5 linked regions of the Nothobranchius furzeri genome follow. The protein of the gene in region 1 binds, or shares a complex with, the protein of each later gene. Links are inferred from orthologs where the notes say so. Each region holds a gene or a part of one and is shown in the gene's direction. Other genes may lie near its edges.

The links.
Region 2: tubgcp5 (region 1) and tubgcp3 share a complex: the UniProt entries of both Homo sapiens proteins name them as parts of the gamma-tubulin ring complex. The link is inferred for Nothobranchius furzeri from reciprocal best matches to the Homo sapiens genes TUBGCP5 and TUBGCP3.
Region 3: the proteins of tubgcp5 (region 1) and tubgcp4 are in contact, whole or in part, in a cryo-EM structure (PDB 9I8M), measured with the Xenopus laevis proteins. The link is inferred for Nothobranchius furzeri from reciprocal best matches to the Homo sapiens genes TUBGCP5 and TUBGCP4. Residues at the interface, in XP_018102626.1 of Xenopus laevis: His233, Leu234, His235, Leu238, Ile241, Trp242, His245, His300, Met301, Thr302, Asn304, Cys305, Ser308, Val309, Gln312, Ala392, Ile393, Leu395, Asp396, Lys397, Arg410, Leu441, Asp442, Tyr443, Asp444, Asn445, Val446, Gly447, Glu448, Ala449; in XP_018110859.1 of Xenopus laevis: Met1, Ile2, His3, Glu4, Leu7, Tyr12, Pro13, Gly14, Ser15, Ile16, Gln29, Pro32, Phe33, Glu60, Thr63, Gly64, Ile84, Arg87, Ala88, Arg91, Arg101, Leu105, Gln109, Leu112, Pro115, His116, Leu117, Val178, Gly181, Val182.
Region 4: tubgcp5 (region 1) and nme7 share a complex: the UniProt entries of both Homo sapiens proteins name them as parts of the gamma-tubulin ring complex. The link is inferred for Nothobranchius furzeri from reciprocal best matches to the Homo sapiens genes TUBGCP5 and NME7.
Region 5: the proteins of tubgcp5 (region 1) and mzt1 are in contact, whole or in part, in a crystal structure (PDB 6L81), measured with the Homo sapiens proteins. The link is inferred for Nothobranchius furzeri from reciprocal best matches to the Homo sapiens genes TUBGCP5 and MZT1. Residues at the interface, in NP_443135.3 of Homo sapiens: Gln14, Gln15, Asp18, Val19, Glu21, Leu22, Val23, Val26, Ala27, Gly28, Asn36, Ala40, Phe43, Ala44, Asn47, Phe48, Arg52, Phe53, Leu54, Phe72, Lys80, Ser83, Trp84, Leu87, Thr88, Glu90, Phe91, Ala106, Ser109, Ile110; in NP_001065243.1 of Homo sapiens: Glu23, Val27, Leu28, Glu30, Ile31, Ser32, Ile34, Leu35, Asn36, Thr37, Leu39, Leu44, Ile46, Cys47, Val48, Arg49, Leu50, Cys51, Glu52, Gln53, Ile55, Asn56, Pro57, Glu58, Ala59, Leu60, Ser61, Ser62, Val63, Ile64.

What each region holds. Positions count from the first base shown.
Region 1 is NC_091756.1:62,472,457-62,477,121, reverse strand, and holds the start of tubgcp5 (gamma-tubulin complex component 5), read left to right. Parts: upstream 1-1,567; 5' UTR 1,568-1,765; coding exon 1,766-1,899; intron 1,900-2,003; coding exon 2,004-2,057; intron 2,058-4,665. UniProt on the Homo sapiens protein: Component of the gamma-tubulin ring complex (gTuRC) which mediates microtubule nucleation.
Region 2 is NC_091754.1:48,776,748-48,781,271, forward strand, and holds the start of tubgcp3 (gamma-tubulin complex component 3), read left to right. Parts: upstream 1-1,411; 5' UTR 1,412-1,533; coding exon 1,534-1,609; intron 1,610-2,477; coding exon 2,478-2,585; intron 2,586-3,006; coding exon 3,007-3,074; intron 3,075-3,229; coding exon 3,230-3,307; intron 3,308-3,383; coding exon 3,384-3,592; intron 3,593-4,524. UniProt on the Homo sapiens protein: Component of the gamma-tubulin ring complex (gTuRC) which mediates microtubule nucleation.
Region 3 is NC_091749.1:30,388,171-30,391,225, forward strand, and holds part of tubgcp4 (gamma-tubulin complex component 4), read left to right. Parts: coding exon 1-180; intron 181-253; coding exon 254-419; intron 420-494; coding exon 495-619; intron 620-725; coding exon 726-776; intron 777-847; coding exon 848-953; intron 954-2,399; coding exon 2,400-2,507; intron 2,508-3,055. UniProt on the Homo sapiens protein: Component of the gamma-tubulin ring complex (gTuRC) which mediates microtubule nucleation.
Region 4 is NC_091756.1:61,686,854-61,690,783, reverse strand, and holds part of nme7 (nucleoside diphosphate kinase homolog 7), read left to right. Parts: intron 1-330; coding exon 331-381; intron 382-523; coding exon 524-731; intron 732-838; coding exon 839-944; intron 945-3,555; coding exon 3,556-3,620; intron 3,621-3,930. UniProt on the Homo sapiens protein: Possesses an intrinsic kinase activity. Displays 3'-5' exonuclease activity with a preference for single-stranded DNA. Does not seem to have nucleoside diphosphate kinase activity.
Region 5 is NC_091752.1:31,536,051-31,539,550, reverse strand, and holds mzt1 (mitotic-spindle organizing protein 1), read left to right. Parts: upstream 1-1,717; 5' UTR 1,718-1,954; coding exon 1,955-2,006; intron 2,007-2,146; coding exon 2,147-2,292; intron 2,293-2,453; coding exon 2,454-2,477; 3' UTR 2,478-2,942; downstream 2,943-3,500. Other genes in the region: bora (protein aurora borealis), read right to left, coding at 1-67, 146-202, 355-399, 517-595, 684-729, 861-967, 1,267-1,416. UniProt on the Homo sapiens protein: Required for the recruitment and the assembly of the gamma-tubulin ring complex (gTuRC) at the centrosome.

The sequences.
Region 1 (4,665 bases):
GCTCGCATTTCGACATTTTCCCGCAGACCTTGTAATAATTGTTGCAGACTCGTTACGACCATCGGTTACGACCAGACGTTTCTCTTCGTCTTCGTGTTGTTGCTACAGAAACGGAGGAGGAGCGTTCCAAATCCGATAGCGTGTGTTGAACATTCTGTATGGAAAGCTCGTTTATCATTTATACCAGGGGGGCTGCAATTGCTGCTCTGGAGCCACATGTGGCTCGTTGCGTTGGGCCTCCAACAATGGCTTTTATAACTTTGGCTTTAAAATTTATGATGTTTTAATTAGAGTTACAATTTTAGAAATGTAAGTTTAAACTTTTTTTGTTTTATTTAATTGAAAAGCTTCATTAAATTTCCATAGATACTGACACTAAAAGTATCAGTAATACTTTTTTAAATATTCTTCACATTTTCCACAAATATCAACATTTCATTTAAAGAAACATTATTCTTCCAGCAAATTATTTTTTGAACCTACTAATAGAAAAAAATATTTTAAGTGACAACAAATCTCTTTTAGTCGATATTTATGGAAGGTATAAAAAAGTCTGCCTTTTATTTGATAAAAAAGGTCAGAATTCTGACTTCAACCTCCCAAGGCCTGAATTTGTATTTGGTGTGAAAAAAGAAAGAAAAAGAAACATTTTTAAAACTTAATCAAAATCAAGTGTCTCTAAATCATATCTTTTAAAAAGGTCTAAGTTGAAGAGAATGAAATATAATGCAAGAAGAAGTCAATGTCACATATGTGGACACAGGGTCTCATTTGGATTATTTCCTTAGGGCTTATTTTTGGGATTCTGTGAAAAAGAGAGAACCATTTTTTGGTGTCGTTGATGTATTGAAATGATATTTTTTATACTTTTATTTACAGTAAATTACAAAAATCTTTTTTCAGCTTAATTTAAAACGATTAAAGGGATTTTGTAATTATATTCTGATTCCTCTTTTTTCTTTATTCACATTGTAGGTGGATGGACCTGCATTCATCTTTAATGAAGACCCCTGGAATGTGTTTAAACCAATTAAATATTGATCAGTTTCAGAGGACAAACTTTAAGAATAATTGCTTTTATAGTTTAATCAGTAAATTATCATTTATTGCAATTTATACCTTTTGAAATATGCTATTCTTGATTTAAGAACGTGTTATAACCAATGCAGTCATTTAAGACATACGGGGGATGGCTGGACCAATAATTTACTAATGTGATCTCTCACACATATGGCAATAAACCCTTCTCGTTCTGATTCTGAAAAGGGATTAATTAAGATGAGATGGTGGGCGTGGCTATAAGCATGGGGTTAATCAATCAAACAAACCAATGAATGATTTTGAAATACAAATTATGAGTTTAATATTGTTTGATTTAAGAAGAAGGGATGTATTTGACCAGCAGAAATGCAAATTTTGATACTCGAAAAATGTAAACGGGTGCGTGCTTTTTTATATGATACAACAGCCTTCCATACAACATAACATTTCAACGAACAAGAAGGAAATAAAGCGTTGACTTTTTTTCAGTGGTACGCATGCGCACCATTGTATGTTTCGATGACGCGGTAGTGGAGGAATCAATGGACCTAACAGTCAATGTAGCGCCTCAGTTTTTGTACATTTGCAATAACGATTTCAACGTTGTTCTTCAAGTCTTATATTTTGAAAAGTTATCCAATAGTTTGCAAGAGTGAGCCAGGCGGTTCCATGCAGGCTAACGCTTGGGGCTAATTCTTGTAGCACAACCAGCAGCTGGAACACCATGGCACACTGGAGCACCTTTGAAAAGGAGACGGAGAAAGAAACCAAGAAGTTAATCAGATCTATCAGCAAGATTGAAGATGAGGAGGACCAAAATTTCCAGTCTGCGCTGAAATTTACGTGGTCAAATTTCAAGTAAGTTAGCCACCGGAAGCAAGCATGTTGTTAGCTGCTAACAAAAGTGTAGCTAACTCAAAGAAGGGCTGCTGTTTACCGCCTGCTTTAATTTCCTCTGTCAGATTTCATCGTTATTTGGACGTCGACAGTCATAAAGTTCAACGCAGTATAAGTGGGTGAGTGCGTTTTGCTGCTCTTGTTTCCTTCCGGTTGTATTATGTTTCATTTGATTTATTTTAGGGAAATGTGAGTCTAATGGACGGATGTGATCTGGACAGGTGAAGCTCTTAAAAGCCACTTTACAGATCAATACAAGCCTGTTGGTGAATATATATATATATATATATATATATATATATATATATATATATATATATATGAGATGCTAAACATAGCTGATAAAGTCTGAATAATAGGGCCTTTTTGGTTCGATTTGTTGACTTTATAATAAACAACAGCATAAACAGTCTTTGGTTCTGGTTCATTGTAATTTACTGCCAGTGGCTGTAAAGCATCTTCGTTTGGAATAGTTTCATTATGTTGTTTTACTAAGATGACTACTACAGGTAGATCCACCTGATTTAACATTTTTGTATCTTGCACAGTTTTTTGTTGATTGTGTTTAATGCAATATGTTGTTTTAATATTCTGTAGCTGTACTCGTTTGGCTGAATCACAAAACACTCATCTCAAATTGATCTGTATTCAAACAGGAAAGAAGTCAATTCTTGTTTAATTCAGAAATGCATCCGAAAAAAAGCTGGTTATTAGAATTAGCCCATATTTTCTATGGTTTTTCATATAATTTTCAATAATTATTGATATCAATCAATAAGATTTTTTTATTGATTGGAATTTTTTCTATATCGTCCAGTCCTAATATATATACATAATTTTTTAGCTTGTTGTCTGTATAAAAGACACCTGTCCACACCTTAAAACCATCAGACTTATACCTCCACCATGGCCAAGACCTTAGAGCTGTCTAAGGACACCAGGGACAAGACTGTACACCTGCAAAAGACTCGATGAGCCAATCTACAATTGGCATCAAGCTCTTACTTCATGGGGTACTAATGATCTTGAGAGAATGGTGAAACAGCCCAGAACTACACTAGGGGGTGGTTAATGACCTGAAGAGAGCTGAGACCACAGTGACAAAGGTTACTATTACTAACACACTACATTGACATGAATTAAAATTCCGTAATGCTCTTAAGTCCCCCTGCTCAGAACAGCACATGTCCAGGGGTCTCATTTATCAAACATGGCGCAGAATCCTTACTAAAACCGTACTTAAGCTCAGCAAAAATATGTACTTACGCCAAGCAGGTGTGTGATCTATCAAACATGGAGGACTCACAGCTGCACGCAACCTCCACTTCATAAATCTGAGACTTATGAGAATGTTTCTCAGCTGCATTTTAGTCACATCCTGCCCTCACCACGCCCACCTATTGCCATAAATGGTCAATGCAAAGTGCCTTGTGGATCTCATGCATATACATAAGCCGGCTGTTGCAGCGCTCCGCCAATGACATGGCGACCGTAGATCAAGGCAGATCAAGGAAGCGCTATTTCACAGAAGCAGAAGTTGAGGTACCTGTGGGTGAGGTGGAGAAATGAAAGGAAGTGCTTTTGCAAAACAAATAAGAGAAAATCCACAGAGTGGCACAGCGTTGCTGAAGCCGTCAATGCTGACTTCTTCAGAGAGATCTGTGGCGGGTATAAAAAAAATGATACGATCGGGATTCGATCCCCAGACTCCTGGATGAAAGTCACGCGCACTAACCAGTCACCCAAACAGAGATCTCCCCTGTACAAGTAGCCAGGGCGCATGATCGATCGGGTCACAGTGACAGGACACACACTGTCACACACGCATGATGTTCTGTCTCAATCTGTCCCCCTGCTGATATTCTGTATTCTGCGCTTCAGGCTGTGTGTGTGTGTGTGTGTGTGTGTGTGGGGGGGGGGGGGGGGGTCTTGTTCTGTGTGAAAATGAAGCAGTACAAGTGATAATGCTGCAGGATTTCATCAGTTTATCCTTCTCAGCAGCAGCACTGCAGGTGCTCTCCATGTCCAGCATGTGTGTAAGCCAGGTCCTTAGTCATCTTAAAGTTGTGCACGTTTTTCAGCCAAGTTTTCTTTCATAAATCCCAAAGTTTGCGTGGAAAGTTGCTTACGCTGTTTTCCAACCCCATTTTGTGCGTAAGCTAGCTTGATGAATGAGGCCCCAGTCCGTCTGAAGTGTGCCAGCCAGAGACCACCGGGATGATCCAGAGAAGGATCAGGAAATTCAGATGGGAGCAAAACAGAACTGTTTGGAACTTGCTGTGTTTGGAGGAGGAAGAATGCTGAGTTGCATTCCAAGAACACCATTACCTCTGTGAGTCAGGGGGAAAAATTATATTTTGAGGCTGATTTTCTGCAAAGGGGACAGGACTGATCTGTATTCAGGAAAATGGGGCCGTGTATCATGAGATTTGGGGGATAAATCTTCCATCATTAAGAGCAATGCAGATGAAACTAGGCTGGATCTTCCAGCATGACAATGTTCCCAAACACACCGACCAGACAACGAAGGAGTGGCTATGTAAAAAGCATTTCCAGGTTCTGGAGTGGCCTAGTCAGTCTTCAGACCTCATCCCAACAGAGAACCTATGGAGGAGGTTGGAAGTCTGTGTTTTCCAGAGACAGCCTCACAACATGGCTGCTGTAGAGAAGATCTGAATGGAAGCCTGGTGCTCATACTCCAGCCCCAAACAGACAGCTAGGCAGCGC
Region 2 (4,524 bases), on another chromosome or scaffold:
GCATCATAAATGGAAAAAAGTTAAATAAGATCAAACATTCTCAGCCATGAAAACTTAGTGATTTTATAAAACAGGATGTTAAAACCGCTGTTTTATCATTTGTGAGTATTTATCAGCACCATAAAAAGTGTTTCTATAACAAAAATATTCACAATCAATTTAAATAATTTGAGGCTCATTTTAAAGTCATTGGTGAATTGTTTCTTAATGGAAATGCCTTTGTCTTTCTGTGTAACTGTTTTATTTTATTTAATCTTGTATGTTTTTATCTCGTCTTTGGCGTAAAGCTAACTAGTGACTGTTGCTGCTGCCTCTTGGCCATCGTCTTTGAAAATGAGAATGAGTTCTCAATCTCATCTGGTAAATAAAGGTAAAATAAAATAAATAAATACATAAAAATACTTTTTGTTCCCAATAATTAATAATATAGACGAGTGTTCTTCAATTATTTATTGTGCTTTCAGTTAAAGTCGTTTAGGGCTGGATGGCTGTGGTCCAGCTAGTAAGCAAATCAAATAAGTGGAAAAGGTAGGGTTAGAAATGGGACGGCTGAATAGGTTGAATAAACAACCTAAAGCCTCTCATAAAAATACATTTATTACATGTTTTACACTGTAAACTCATAGTTTTGTCATTTTGGGCATGTCCCATATTTCCATTGACCCATACTGATTCATTTGAGAGAATAAACTGGAGACCAGCAGCCTGAGGGGGCACATTCAGTGTTTACCCAGTTTCTCCTGAACCCTGCTGCATCTTCTCAGACACACAGCTACTGTAGCACATTTTAATTATAACTGTTGAAAATTAAACTTTTTAAACTGTCACTGTGTCTTGGTTCCCATCAGATCATTACAGAAAATATTTTCTTTTAAGATTGTGGCTTCTCTTTAAAAAAAACATGTTGTTTTACACTCCCGCTGAAAGAATATGCCATTTCAAATTTTTTATTATTTTTCTCTAACTCTACTGAAAATAAAAATCAATAAATGACAATTTTGCGAAAAAATACGTTTTCTAATTAAGTTTTGTTATGATGGACATTCTGTTTTGTTAATATTCTGTCCTTTGGTTGCTTATTCTGTTCAGTTTATTATGTTAATTTGCACTTTTAATTGTGAAATACTGCACCTTCAATCAAAATTTAAAAACCGATAGTTGTAAATATATTGTTTCTTTATCTTGTTTTGTTAAACATTTTCCTGTTTTGTGTTCAAAAATCAACGAGGAAGGAAACTAAAATAAACAAACTACGATATTTTAGTTCATGACCGGTATCAATAAAGATTTCAACGAAGAAAAACGTGAACATGGACAACTAACGCCCCCTTCAGTTCTGGAAGCAACATGCCTTTTCCTTATATGGTGTTGGTGTGCCCGAGCGCTCCTTCCCCGCCCCTATCCGTTTTCCGCAGCAGCCAGGCCAGTTAGCCAAAATGGCGTTTTCATAGCGGGAGACTGGAGTTAGTTGATGATCTTCTTCAACATTTATTAGATTATCGGACGACTCGTGACTCTGGGACCACAGACACCATGGCAAGCCTGGACCAGAAATCTCCCAACGTCCTTTTGCAGAGCCTCTGCTGCAGGATCACCGGGAAAAGCGAAGGTACATCAGTTAACGCTAGCTTAAGCGCGCCACGATCATTCTCAAGTATCCAGGAAGCTCCCTACCTAACCTCATTCAAGAAAGCGCATTTTTACCATTTCTTTTACATTTCTCTTTTAATAACCTTTTATACTTAACATAATATGTTACTCTAATTGTTGACGGTTGCCGTTGAATTCGGCGAGGAGATTTGTTATTTGGCAGCCTCTATTCGGGAGTAATTTAACGTTTTACACATCAAACTGGAGAGTTTTGCGACCGATTTACGGCGCACAAACTATTTAATTCTAGCTAGCTTTGTGGGGGAACAAAAACATAAGTGACTGATTTTGCAGCTCGCTGGTTGTTGATATCTGTGGTAAACATGTCACGTCGTAGCAGGGCCCGGTCTGTCATGGCAGCTGTCGGTCCTCTGCTCGGAAGATGCTGCACACTCGCGTCACTCACCGCTCTGTTTGGGTTCGTGAAGCTCCTTCAGCTCTGTGAGCTCGGAGCTCCGCAGATCCACCCAACGTGTGCAGGGCTTTTGGATGCACATGCCCTGCTAACTGCAGCCCCCTGCAGGAAAACTAAACATCCCAGATCCTGGTGATGCACCGATTCTGGTTTAGAGGACTGACACTGTTCTCTGATTTTTGTGCAGCTCTGATCTGCTGAATTAGGTTTTAGAGATGGACTAAACATGCACTCATGGACTTCAATGACACACATCTGAGTTTCCTATACTGATTAGACTGCTAAATAATGTCCGATTGCAATCACCAGCTAATGTCTTACTGCCTTTTTAGTTACCAGGTGTGATCAACAAAGGGCATGTTTTTAAACTGAATCTCTTTGACTTGACTGGGACCTTCGTTTGTTCCTGCAGCTGAAGTTGCCCACCAGTTCCAGTATGCGGTGCGGGTCATCGGCAGCAACTACGCCCCCACCATCGAACGGGACGAGTTCTTGGTGTCAGAGAAGATCAAGAAAGAATGTGAGTGCTGCTGGACCTCCTACAGTCCCACAGTGATGAACCCAGTCTGTATGTGTGGAGCAATGTTTGCTTTTTCACGTTAACGCTTACCGCACCTTGTAAAGTAGCTGAGGTAGCAGCAGTCGCACATTTTAATCTGGTTAAATTACACAAGTCCTGGCATATGAAGAGGTTTATTCCAGGAGCTCTTAGCTAAACGGCTACAGAAACATAATCCAGCCTCAGATTTAGATTATAGATGTGGTGGGGCTTGTCAGAGCTGTGACTTTAGACAGATTTGTAGGAAACCTGAGCTTGTTTAGTCAAAACTACGTTTTCTACTGTGTAAAAAGCTCTCGGCTTGTATTTTTTCCTGGATTTTCTGTTTGATTGGGGACTTATTCAGAAGCCCAGCAGCTAACATTTGGTTGTGCCGTTTCAGTGCTGAAGCAGAGGAGAGAAGGAGATGCTGCTTTATTCTCAGAGCTGCACAGAAAACTTCAGACGCAGGTTTGTGTCCTCCTGAGAAGCTCCGGTCTCTTTGGGATTATTAAAGCTCGTCTCCTAATCTGAGAAATAGAATTAAAAATCCAGTTTTTCTGGTTTTTACGGGTAAACATTGGTTATTTTGGTGGAGTTTTTGACCAGGTGTTGCTCTTCATTAGGGTGTTCTGAAGCATCGCTGGTCCGTCCTCTACCTGCTGCTCAGCCTTTCTGAAGACCCTCGGAAACCGTCCAGCAGGGTGAGAGATGCACACTTTTAATCACCTCCCGTGCCAAAGTTGTAATCTCATCTTAATCTGTGCAACTCCTCCTCAGGTTGGGAACTACGGGGCGCTGTTTGCTCAGGCCCTCCCACGGGACGCCCACTCCACCCCGTTTTACTGCACCCGACCCCAGAGCCTGGCTCTGAGCTACGCGGACAGGAACGCCGGCTTGTCGGGAAGTGTCGGGACCAGTGGGATCTCCAGTTTGGGAGTGTACACGCTGAACGGACCCACGCCGACGCCACAGGCCTTGCTGGCCAGGTGAGAGTCCACAGCTTTGTTTTATTAGTCGATTCACCTAAAAGGTTCTGTGAACATCTATAAACACCCGACGCTGATATCACCACCAATCAGCTCCGCAGCATAATCTCAGTCTGAGCTGGTTAGCAGTTTTACGAGGCACTAGAAGCTAATTTAATTCCATTAACTCTCATTAATGATGCAGGAATCCTGCAGCTTCTGCATGATAGTCTGAGTTCACCCAAACAGCAGAAGGGTCATCTCCTTCTCCGAACAAGCAGCAACACTTGGATTATGCAGCGAGTAGCCAGATTAGATGAAAGTGCGTTTTTACAACAGTTCGTAACAATGGAGGCTAACGATTCGAGGTGAAAGTTGAGCTGTTGGGTTTATTCTGCAGAAGCGTGTTGTCGTTGTTTGTAGTGCCGGGTGCTGGTTCTGGTACCCTGAGTAAAACACTTTTTCAGAGCAACCCGTTCAGGTTAATGAGTCACACAGCTCTGTTCCTGACGGTCATGTGACCAGGATGTCATTCACACATAGCCCCGCCTCTTTGTTTACAACATTTCTCTGAGTTTGCAGAAAAAGGTCAGATTTGAACGTCTCAGCTCAGGAGGAGTCGCGCACGCTTTGATGGCGACGTTTTTCTTTCAGACCTCTCCGTCACCTGGAGAGAGTCGCAAAGCAGTTTCCCGCCAGGACAACAGAGGGCGCAGCGCTTTTGTAGGGGTGTCCCGTCTCAGGTCCATGTTGGTGTTTACTGTTGTTTATTTATATTTTGTTCATGTGTTTCAGAGACATTTTAACATGGACGTATTTGTCCCTTGTTCTGTTCCACCTCCAAACCCACGACTCCGGCCACGGATGAAACGCCTGCTGCGTATCTTTGTGCTCCTTCAGTCACGGGTGAATAAACGTCGGAGTTTTTCCTCTGTCCGATATCTACGACACTC
Region 3 (3,055 bases), on another chromosome or scaffold:
GTGATGTACAAGCAGTTAGCAGCATGGATGCTTCACGGATTGCTGCTGGATCAAAGTGAGGAGTTCTTCATAAAGCAGGGTCCCAGTGCAGGAGGTGCTGCTGCCAGCCAGGACGAGGAGGAGGAGGACCTGGGTCTGGGAGGTTTAAGTGGCAAGCAGCTCAGAGAATTACAGGACCTGGTGAGGCCGGTTAAAGTCCTTCATCAGTCCGTGGATAGGGTCTGTCTAACAGCGTTTACTCTAATGTCTTCAGAGGCTGATCGAGGAGGAGAACATGCTGGCTCCATCACTCCAGCAGTTCTCTCTGCGAACAGAGATGCTGCCATCTTATATCCCCATCAGGGTGGCTGAGAAGATCCTGTTTGTTGGAGAATCTGTTCAAATGTTTGAAAATCACAACCACAGCCCGTCCAGAGCCGGTACTTCATATATATGTGGAGTCTAGCGCCCGCTTATTAGTGACCCTCAAACACATCTTTGTCCTTTTGTTTTAGGCTCCATATTAAAGCACCAGGAGGACCTTTTTGCTGCTGAGCTACACAGACTCAAACAGCAGCCGCTGTTCAGCCTGGTGGACTTTGAGAATTTAATCGATCGAATCAGGAGCACAGTGGCAGAGGTGAGCACCAGCATCGCTGCATTACTTTACTCGGTTAAATAAAAACACAAGTTGGCGGGGACGGCGCTGTAAAACGTAACCCTGGTCCTATTGTTTTGATCTGCAGCACCTGTGGACGTTGATGGTGGAGGAGGCAAATCTGCTGGAACAGCTCAAGGTTTTTCATTTCGTAATTGTTTGTTGAACTCGGATATGCGCTGTGCTGACGATGTTTGTGATCTCCTCCAGATCGTTAAGGATTTCTACCTGCTGGGTCGTGGCGAGCTCTATCAGGTGTTCATTGACCTTGCTCAGCACATGTTGAAGACTCCTCCAACAGCAGTCACCGAGCACGGTAAACATGTCTGCACAGATCTCACTCACCTCTGGGTGTTTTTATTTTACCTGGTGTTAAATCATATCATATGCATTCTGTATACATGAAATATTTTACAGAATTATGATCCATAGCAAACTTTCTTGAGACAACCAGTTCCTCTCATTTGGGTGTTTTCTCTGAGGAAGGAGTTCAGACAGTGGTGGTTAGATGCCAGAGGGGTCTCCTCCTCTTCATCAGATCATAATCGGGTTCATCGTTTTACAGAGGAAGACTCAGACCCTGTAGATGAAGAGCTGTTTTTGACCTCCTAAACTGGTGTACCTGTAAATGTTTCACAAATAAACGTGTAGTCGGTTGTTTGTTTAGACTGTCAATCATTTTTTTGACGCTTTCACGAAAGGCTGTCGTCGTGCGTTCTTGGTGCTGGGTAGTTTTCACTTCCTGCGCATTCTGTCTATGTGCAGAGTGATCCGCTTTTATTCCTCGTCGTTCTCACCGGGTTCTTTTGAAAATGGCCGAGAGTCGCAAGAGGAGAAGTGTCTCTGAAGTCGGGCCCTAGAAATAAGATCAGAATCTTTTTTTAGGAGACTCTTTCCAACGATGGCGTACGCTTAAAGCGAAGGTTGGCCTCCCCCCAGACACCTCTGTTGCTGGTTTTCTGCTCGACGGGTAAGCTGAAGTTCGGCGTGCTGTTTGGAGGAATTAATTTCAGATTACTGCTAGAAGAAGCGCTGCAAGGCCGGCAGCAACTTATAAACAGAGTGTGCATTTTTTTCTAAACAGACCCTGCATCCAGACCAAATGCCTGAACCGCCTCAGCTGGCTCCTATTAACACGGAGGAGCAGCGGCTCCGCTGTTTGCTCCTCCCTCTCAACGGCTGAGCCCAACCTCCCTGCTAAGGAAACTCCTTATAGCCGCTTGTGTTCATGATCTTGTTTCTGGCATTACTCAGCGCTAATGGCCAAAAGTCAGGATCGAGATGAAGATCACCTTCACTGTCTGGCTTAACGCTTTCTTCACCTCAACTGACCAGTTCAGCATCCACACCACTGCAGACGTGTGCCCTGATCTCCTGCTCCCTCCTTCACTCACTCCAGAATATTCTGTGAAACAAACCATTTAGTTGACTTGTTTTCAATTCTCTTTAGAAAATTCTAATTCATTTAGAGGAGGTTTTGGCCTTGTTTTGTGTGGCTGACCCAGTTTTTTTTAGTCTGTGCAGAGACCGAGATGTTTGCCTGTTTAAGCCGCTTGGGTCACCTTACAGCTAATAAGAGACAACAGAAGCACAGAGTCGCCCTCACCTTCTGATTTAGCTCTAGTGGGTTGTGACCAAAAAGTCATTGTACACCTGGGCTTCCACCATCTGCTGGTTTCTGTTGATGAAAAGTGTCTGAATTTGTGTTCACTACTAGCAGCAGTCATGGATTTCATGTGCTGAGACTGTTTTCTCCTTCCAGACGTGAACGTGGCGTTCCAGCAGGCTGCTCATAAGGTGCTGCTGGACGACGACAACCTGCTGCCTCTGCTGCATCTAACTGTGGACTACCAGGGCAAAGAGAGCAAAGGTTCACTTGTTTTTTATATTAAGGTCATGAAGGAAAATAAAAGAGGGAAAAAAAATCAGCCTTGGGGAATTTAGAGGCGGAGAAATGGCTCATGTGCCCTTTTAGAAGATGTTATTGTTGTGTACATGTGTGATCTAAAGTTTCTCTGTTGCAAACATGCGTTACATGTTTGTTGAAAAATATGAACTAATAATGGTGATGGTGAGTGTTTGTGGACACGGCATGCCAGCAATGAAATGACTTGTTTTAATATTATTCAGTTTTAAAATCAATTCAAGCAGCAAAATAACACAAACAGCGACCTGCATCCACATGTAGGAAGTCGCTGAGATACGACGCAGTGGTGCAGGTTGATGACATAATGCTCACCGTCCCAATTCTGCAGTTGTTTGCGTTACTTGTTTACTACACACTCGAAGCCTTGGCCTACTTGTGCTTCCACCAATGCACTTCATAGAGGACTGTAGCTGCATTGAGAGAACTCATCCAGGGTTGGAGACCTCTGAGCCAGATGAAGAGTCATGTGAAGAACTTATACTTGTAGTTTC
Region 4 (3,930 bases), about 790 kb from region 1:
TTCTCTTCTGTCACGTTCTCCCTGATCACGATGGATCTGACTGTGATGTATATTTTTCCCTTTTTTATAATTTCAGCTTTATTTGGATACACAATGTCCCGTCCAGTTGTGCAGCGCTTTGTGCTAATCTTGTCTGTGAACGGCGCTCTGGAAAATACTTTTGAGTTATTACTAAAATGTTCTTTTTTCTGCTGTTATTGTTTTTTCCAAAGCAAATCACCGCTATCACTAAACTCTGTTAATAACAGTCATCTGGCCAACAGACATGTGAGAAGTGCTGCATCATTTGGTCACCCATTGACTTTGGTGGATGGTTTTGTTGCTTTACAGGAGCCAAGCGGAAGACTTTTACGTGGAACATCAGTCAAAGCCTTTCTTCAGGTGAGTGCTCGTGTAAATGATCTCCCAGTTCTGAGCAGAGAAGGGTTGTGATTGCCATCTAGCACTCCGACCACAACCTGTGATGGTGACATTTTAGAGTTTTTTAAATTCAAATCAGCTCCAACGTGACTCTGTTTTGCAGTGCGCTGGTGCACTTCATGTCCTCTGGGCCAGTGGTTGCCATGGAGCTGGTGGGTGACAAGGCCCTGTCGATCTGGAGGGAGCTCCTGGGACCTGCAGACTCTGCTGTGGCGTTAACAGAGGCGCCACAGAGCATCCGTGCACAGTTTGGAACAGACGCCATCAAAAATGTGGCCCATGGCTCTGACTCCATAGCTGTAGCAGCAAGAGTGAGGATTTTGACTTTGTTCTCGCTCTCTTGTGCCTTCAGTAGTCTGAGAATCGCACTTCCTGGAACGGTCATGATCATTAAAGTTTGTGTGTTTGTTTTTGTAAGGAGCTGGAATTCTTTTTTCCTTCCACGGTCGGCCATGGCCCCTCCAACACAGCCCTGTTCACAGACTGCACTTGTTGTATCATCAAACCCCACGCTGTATCAGCAGGTAAGGAGTCACTCAGGCATGGCAAAATATCTCACTTTTATTTGTATTTTGTTATTTTGAGTTCCTGTGCTGCTGGCTTGTTTCCCCCCCCCCTCCCCAACAAAGCCACCATGTGGTTTCCAAAATGGCCTTGGATTTTTCCAAATCCCAGTGCTGATCCCTGCTCCCGGGGCATGCCACCAGAGCTCTGAGCTGTGAAATGTGAAATTCTGTGCAGAGCTGATGTTTGCACACAGAAAGCTGTTGACTGGAGGTGGACCCCAGCTTTTGTTCTGCACTTACAGCAGAGAACATACAGTAATAACTACAGATCCACTAATATCTTGTTGTATCTTGAGTTTCATCATTTCTCTGGTATCTGACTGTCTTTATGTTTCAGTTTGAGCCAGCGTGACATTATATTGCACATACATGTATAAATTCATGTACCCTTGCATTTACGATGGAAACGCTCTCAATGGTCCCTGAAATAAACTTAAAGGGATTTTCCACCCCTAAGTGAAATTGAGTTTATTGCTGTATTCCCCAGAGTCAGAAAAGTCAGAAAAAAAAACCGACAAAATGATTCATTATAAAGGTTTTGTGAAAGCAAGGCTTATTTCCGTCCACTGCCTCTGGGCGATAATAAAGCCATGGTGTATCTGTGCACCGCTGCTCTCTGGCCTGCCTTCATGCTGCACCTAAACAGAACAGATCGCCCACTTTTGTTATTTCTGCAGTTACAGCCACGCTTAGCCTGCTAGGGCACGTTCAAATCTTTGGCTTGAGAAAGGAGGCGGTGAGAGAGAATACAAGTGGGCATGCTTTGTTTGTCTGCAAGGCACCGTTGAGCAACAGTTAAGCTTGCAACGAGCCGCGGTGATAAACCAGCTCGGTCCGAACGCATGGATTTCAACATTTGCTCAGTGAATACCGGTGGTTGTTGGCTGTGTTAATCATTCCTGACAGGTCACAGTGATAGTGCTCTGTGCTCGTATATAAACTTTTTATCAAACCCCGGCGTTTTCAAATGAAGGTTTCCTTCATTAGGGGGTCCAAATAAATTTAAAAAAAGTAGTTTTATGTGGAACAATAATTGCTCCCCATGTTACGTCCTGATTTATTTGTGATTAAACATATTTGTAGAGCTGGGGTGAGTTTCACCAGCCACACCCAGGCCTGCTTACTGCCACTAACTTCAACAGAACCTGTCCAACAACATGAAGTAGGCTAAAAGATCTCCATGCTCTGGTCTAAAGAACCCAACATCACCAAAGCACTGCAGACCTCATTAAGGTCAGAGGTCATGAATCAACCATGGCGACAGAGAGGTTCTACTGACCGTAATAATCCATAAGACTCATCTCACATTACATTTAGTGTAAAACTAACACTTCATTTCAGTGAAGTATCCTCATTCCAACAGTGAAGCATGGTGATGGTGGTATGATGGTCTGGGGCAGTTTTGCTGCTGCAGGACCTGGGCCACTTCCTGTAAATGATGGAACCATGAACGCTGATCCGTAGCAGAACATATCTTAAACAATGTCTCGCTTAAGCTGATGTGTTTGATGTGCTACAAGAAGTTTGGCGCTTCTTAAAACAGTTCAGTTAAAACGAATCAGTTATCTCTCAGAAAGTGTGGCATTGTTAAAACTTCAAAGCTCCTACTCAGGCGTCAGTTTCACTGCTAGAAGTGACTCCCACACTGTTTACCTTCAGAGCCGTGATATATTTGGTCCGAGCCAAGAATAGAAACCAGGCTGAATGATTTGTCCAGCTGAGGTCGACAAAAAGCTCTGCTCTGATCTCCCCTCAGAAATCTCTTCAGTAGCTCATTTATGTCGTCAAGACGGCCTGTCACCGTGGCCATGAAGGACGCTGTGAGTGAAAATTCACTCAGACATGACCGGAATAGAGAAGCTTCTGTTGCCAGGCTCCTGGAATAGTATCTCCTAGCAACAGCAGCAGCTGCTTTGTGGCGCTGCGAGGAGTGTGTGGAACCTGTGCAGTCCTGGGGAGGGCACAAAGGACTCAGGCTATTACCTAGTGCACATAACTGGACTGTGACGTAGGGAGGGAGAGATCCACAGACGGCGGCTACGCCTGGTTCCTATTGAACGTCTGCGCTGCAGCATTTAGAGTTAATGAAAACCGTCCTGGGTGACAGGTACACAAGCTACTTTTTATCAGACTGAGATTACGAGACTGGCGCCTTGATTCAATTGTGTGTCTGCAGCAGTCTGACCTTCAGAGTCACTGCAGCTGCACCACTTCTACAGCAAAGACCCAGCTCTTTGATGGGATGTACAGTTCACTATCTCGTTTCCTAAAAGGTTGCCTGGACAAAAATGCTTTCCCTCGATAGACAACACATCAGCGAGACTATCTCACTCTGTCCAGAGGACAGACTGAGGTCAGTGCACTGAGATGTACCGCTGATGTCTGAGCAGAAGCACGTTCAGTAGTGATGCATCCGGACTTCACGATAGTCAGATGCTTCACTGCAGCAGTGGATTCAGGTGTTATTTGATCTGGACGACATCTGAGATTGCTGCAGCACTAAAATACCGTGTTTGTCCTTCTGTGTAAACTCGGCTCATAAAGACTGATGAGCATCATGTGTTCACAGGGCTGACTGGGAAGATTCTTAACTCCATATCTGCAGCTGGATTTGAGATCTCAGCTCTTGGAATGGTGATTATTATTTTTCTGTGTTTGTTTCACATGAAATGAGTAAGGTCTGTAAACTCTAGCGCTTTAACAGCGACTCTTCATGCTTCCCACAGATCGATGCTGTAGAACTAACAAGCTGCTCAGTGTTACTGTGAAAGGGTTAGGGTCCATTAGGTGGAATAAAATCCCTTCATTTCAGTCTGTTGTAACAAATGGTTAATGGCCTGTATTTATACACCACTTTCTAGGGTACGACACAGCTTTTATTCACACACACACACACACACACACACACACACACACACACACACACACGCGCACACACACACAC
Region 5 (3,500 bases), on another chromosome or scaffold:
CTCAAGGAGGAGGAACTGAGGCTCTCCTGGACTGCGTCACCCGCTTCCTCGTAACGGTAATGTTCTCCTGAAAAGTACAAAGGCAGTGATGAAAATATTCAGCCAGAGGAAAATCAGATTTTGCTGACATTCAGCAGAAGCTCACCAAGTAATTTCTCCAAATCGAACCCCAAAGGTAGAGACAGGGCCGTCTGGCAAGCAACTGGAAACCAGATAAAATAAATATTGAGGAATCTTTGGTTTCGAGAATCAATGTGTACATAAATATGTAACAGTATATTTTTGTGACAAACATGTACAGGCTTGTGTTCATAAGAAGAAAGATCATCCACTTCTATAAAAAAGAACACCAACCCGAGACTGTTTTTGTCGCCTCTGAAATTGTTGCAGACCCTGGGCCTAAATGTCAAAAGACAAAAGCAGAATAAAATAAACCAGCACGGATTAAAATGTGCAAAGTCCAGGTAAATCTAAATTTAAGACTTAAACAGTAATATAAACAATAAAATAACACACTTTTATTGTACAGGTGAGGGGCTCTGCGGGTTTCCGGTGCTGCCCAGGGGGAAGGCACAATGGCTCCTTTTGTGAAAAACTTTATTGGAAGAAATCAAGCAACACATAATCAAAATAAAAGCTTATTTATGTTTACAAAACCAGAATAAGTTAGATTAATTCAATACCTGCTCAATAGCACTCTGACATTTTTCCTCAATGTCAGAATCAATCCTGAAATAAAGAAGAGCCGAGTTTTATTAATTAATTTCTGAAAGTCTTTCTTTTTCCCTGTCATTGTGCGATGGATTGAGTTGCATCAGTCAACGGTGCTTCCTTTAGGAATTTTAGTTTCAAACACACACCTTGTCTGGCTGAGGTAGAGAGATTGTCGCTGGATTTCCTCTGGGTCTATGTGCACTGGGAGAAGACTGGCCATTTCATCAATAGACCAGTTAAACTTAGAGGGAGTCTGCGGAAGAGACAGGAAATACATGAAGTCTATGTAAAGTTAAATGTTCAGGATTACGAAAATTTCTATGAAAAAAAATCACCCCTAACTTTGTATAAGTTATAATAAATAATAAAAATTGTATTATAACCCCAACAATAAGTTGATCATCTTCCAAATGATTGATCACAACCATTGTAAAAGGTTACAGGTTTGCTTATTTTTTCCATTTGGACGCCTACTATGAAGAATTAACGAACATTTCAAATTTTTTCACAGACATCCTGATAAATGTGGATCTGTTTTGTGTTCAGACTTACAGCCTTGCACGTCTTTGACTTGAAGACAGAGGGACTCGGAACCAGGGGTTCCCGCAGATGGTGGTAGTCGTTAGGACTCTCGAAGGGGTTCCTTATGGAAGACCTGCCTGGAGTTTCTGGTGTGATCTGGAGCTGAATGTGGTCCCCCATCTAGCCTAAAGTCGAGATAAAAAAGAAAACACTTCAAATGCAGAATTAACGAGGCGAAAATCGATCAAGTCAACAGTTGTTGTCGTTCATGTGATGTTAAGTTCGGTACGTTAGCTAAAAGAAAGGAAGCGGTCCACTCGCCATTTGTACTTACAACTTTGAAGATGCACGAATAATTCTGATCGAAATATGTGGAACAGGTCGGGGAAAAACATACAAACAGAAACAATTCAAACATCAATTTCAATTTCTCCTCCTAGGCCCGCAAGCCAATAGAAACGTTGCAGGAAGTGACGATTTTAACGTTATTTCCGCTGCCAGTTTTGACCGACGTGAGAATTTTGGTGAGGTTGTTAGATATGTGCTAATGTGGCTTACATGTTGTTTGCCCGTTTCTAATGATCGGGTTCTGTGACATATAAATACGTTAGCCATTATTATTATAATCAAGTTATTGTTAACTCGTGACGTCAGAGACACGCTGTTGGTTAGCCACTTCTCTTGCTAGGAAGCGTTAGCTAACCATCGTTTTATCACCATGGCAAGTGCAGCAAATGCAAACCTAAACGCAGTCCGGGAGACAATGGATGGTGAGTGTTTATTTGGCACGTAAGTGGCAGAACATGTAGTTTTAAAATACCTTCACAAACGTAAAAGCGCACATGCTTTGTAGCTAACTTCTAACCTTGTCACAGCAATAACATGTTTCATTATTGTTCTCGTTTAACAGTCTTGCTTGAGATCTCCAGGTTGTTGAACACTGGTTTGGACATGGAGTCTCTGTCCATATGTGTGAGACTATGTGAGCAAGGGATCAATCCTGAAGCCTTGTCTGCAGTCATCAAAGAGCTGCGGAGAGCTTCAGAGTCTTTCAAGGTACACAATTATTATGCATATTATTATTATGCAAGTTGCTAGAGTTCTGTTTGGAGCTTGGAGCATCTTCAGTGTTTCCCAAGAACACATTCATTTGCAGACTTGCTAAAAATGTCAACTTGTTAATTGATGGACAACTATATTTATTGTTATTCTTTCAGGCTTCTGAGAACTGCACAAACTGAAGACAGAAGACAGACCTCAAATGTTTGAAACACTCATCGGGATCATGCTCTGATCTGTTTTGGCACTTTTTTTTCTGTGACTTCTGCGCTGTCCTGTTCTGTACTTAATACATCTTTGGCCTGTGTTCGGGGCTCTCTGTAAAAATAGCACCATCTGTCTTATTTTGAACATAAGTCACATGCTTAAAGTGATGTATGCTCAGTCCATCCAATTTCATATTTAGCCATACTCCTGACATGCTTTTGGATGCGGTGCGATGCTTAGTCAGCAATGATATCTTGCTGTAGTAATAATTTTTAAAAGGAGAAATTTAATTTTCTATTCCCTTTTGTCCAACTTCTATGGTTTTTCTTGTGTATATAGTTAGTCATTTAATTGAGTTTTTTAAATAATATTTAATTTTACTTATGAAACTGGGTTTTTGTTGTTTCACTAATTTGTCTAAAATAAACTTGTCAAAGGTGGCCACTAGGTGGTGGTGTGTGTTTCTATTCAATGAAGTTAACAGGTGTTGTCTGAATAAATCAAGCAGTTATAACTTTCCAGTTTTCCTGAGAAAAGTTTATCTAATAAAGAAATGTATAGTTTGATAAAATGTGTGTTGTGGGTGTTTAGACTGCAAAGTTAATAAAAAGTAGTGATTTGCTAAAAGGACACGATCTTTCCTGTCAGACTAGGTGAAATAATGAGCAGAATGGTACACTTTATAATAAACAGCCAATTGTTGAATAAACACAGCTAACAATACTTCACAACAAAGGAGATCTGAGCAAAGGTCACTTAACAGTAGGATGTCCTGTTGATCTAAAGTCTTTTTTCTGATGTGTCTGAATTTGTTCCACAACATTTTGAGATATAGTGCAAGACTTGACAAAAACACATCTTTGATCTACTTGTGGGGAACGGGGGCTTGATCATACGTCTAACCAGGCAGCATTATTTTGTTTCTCTGCAGTCTGTAACAAAACTATTCATCTCCCAGACAAAGAAGAAAAATGCTGAGAGCACAGAATGTTTACAGG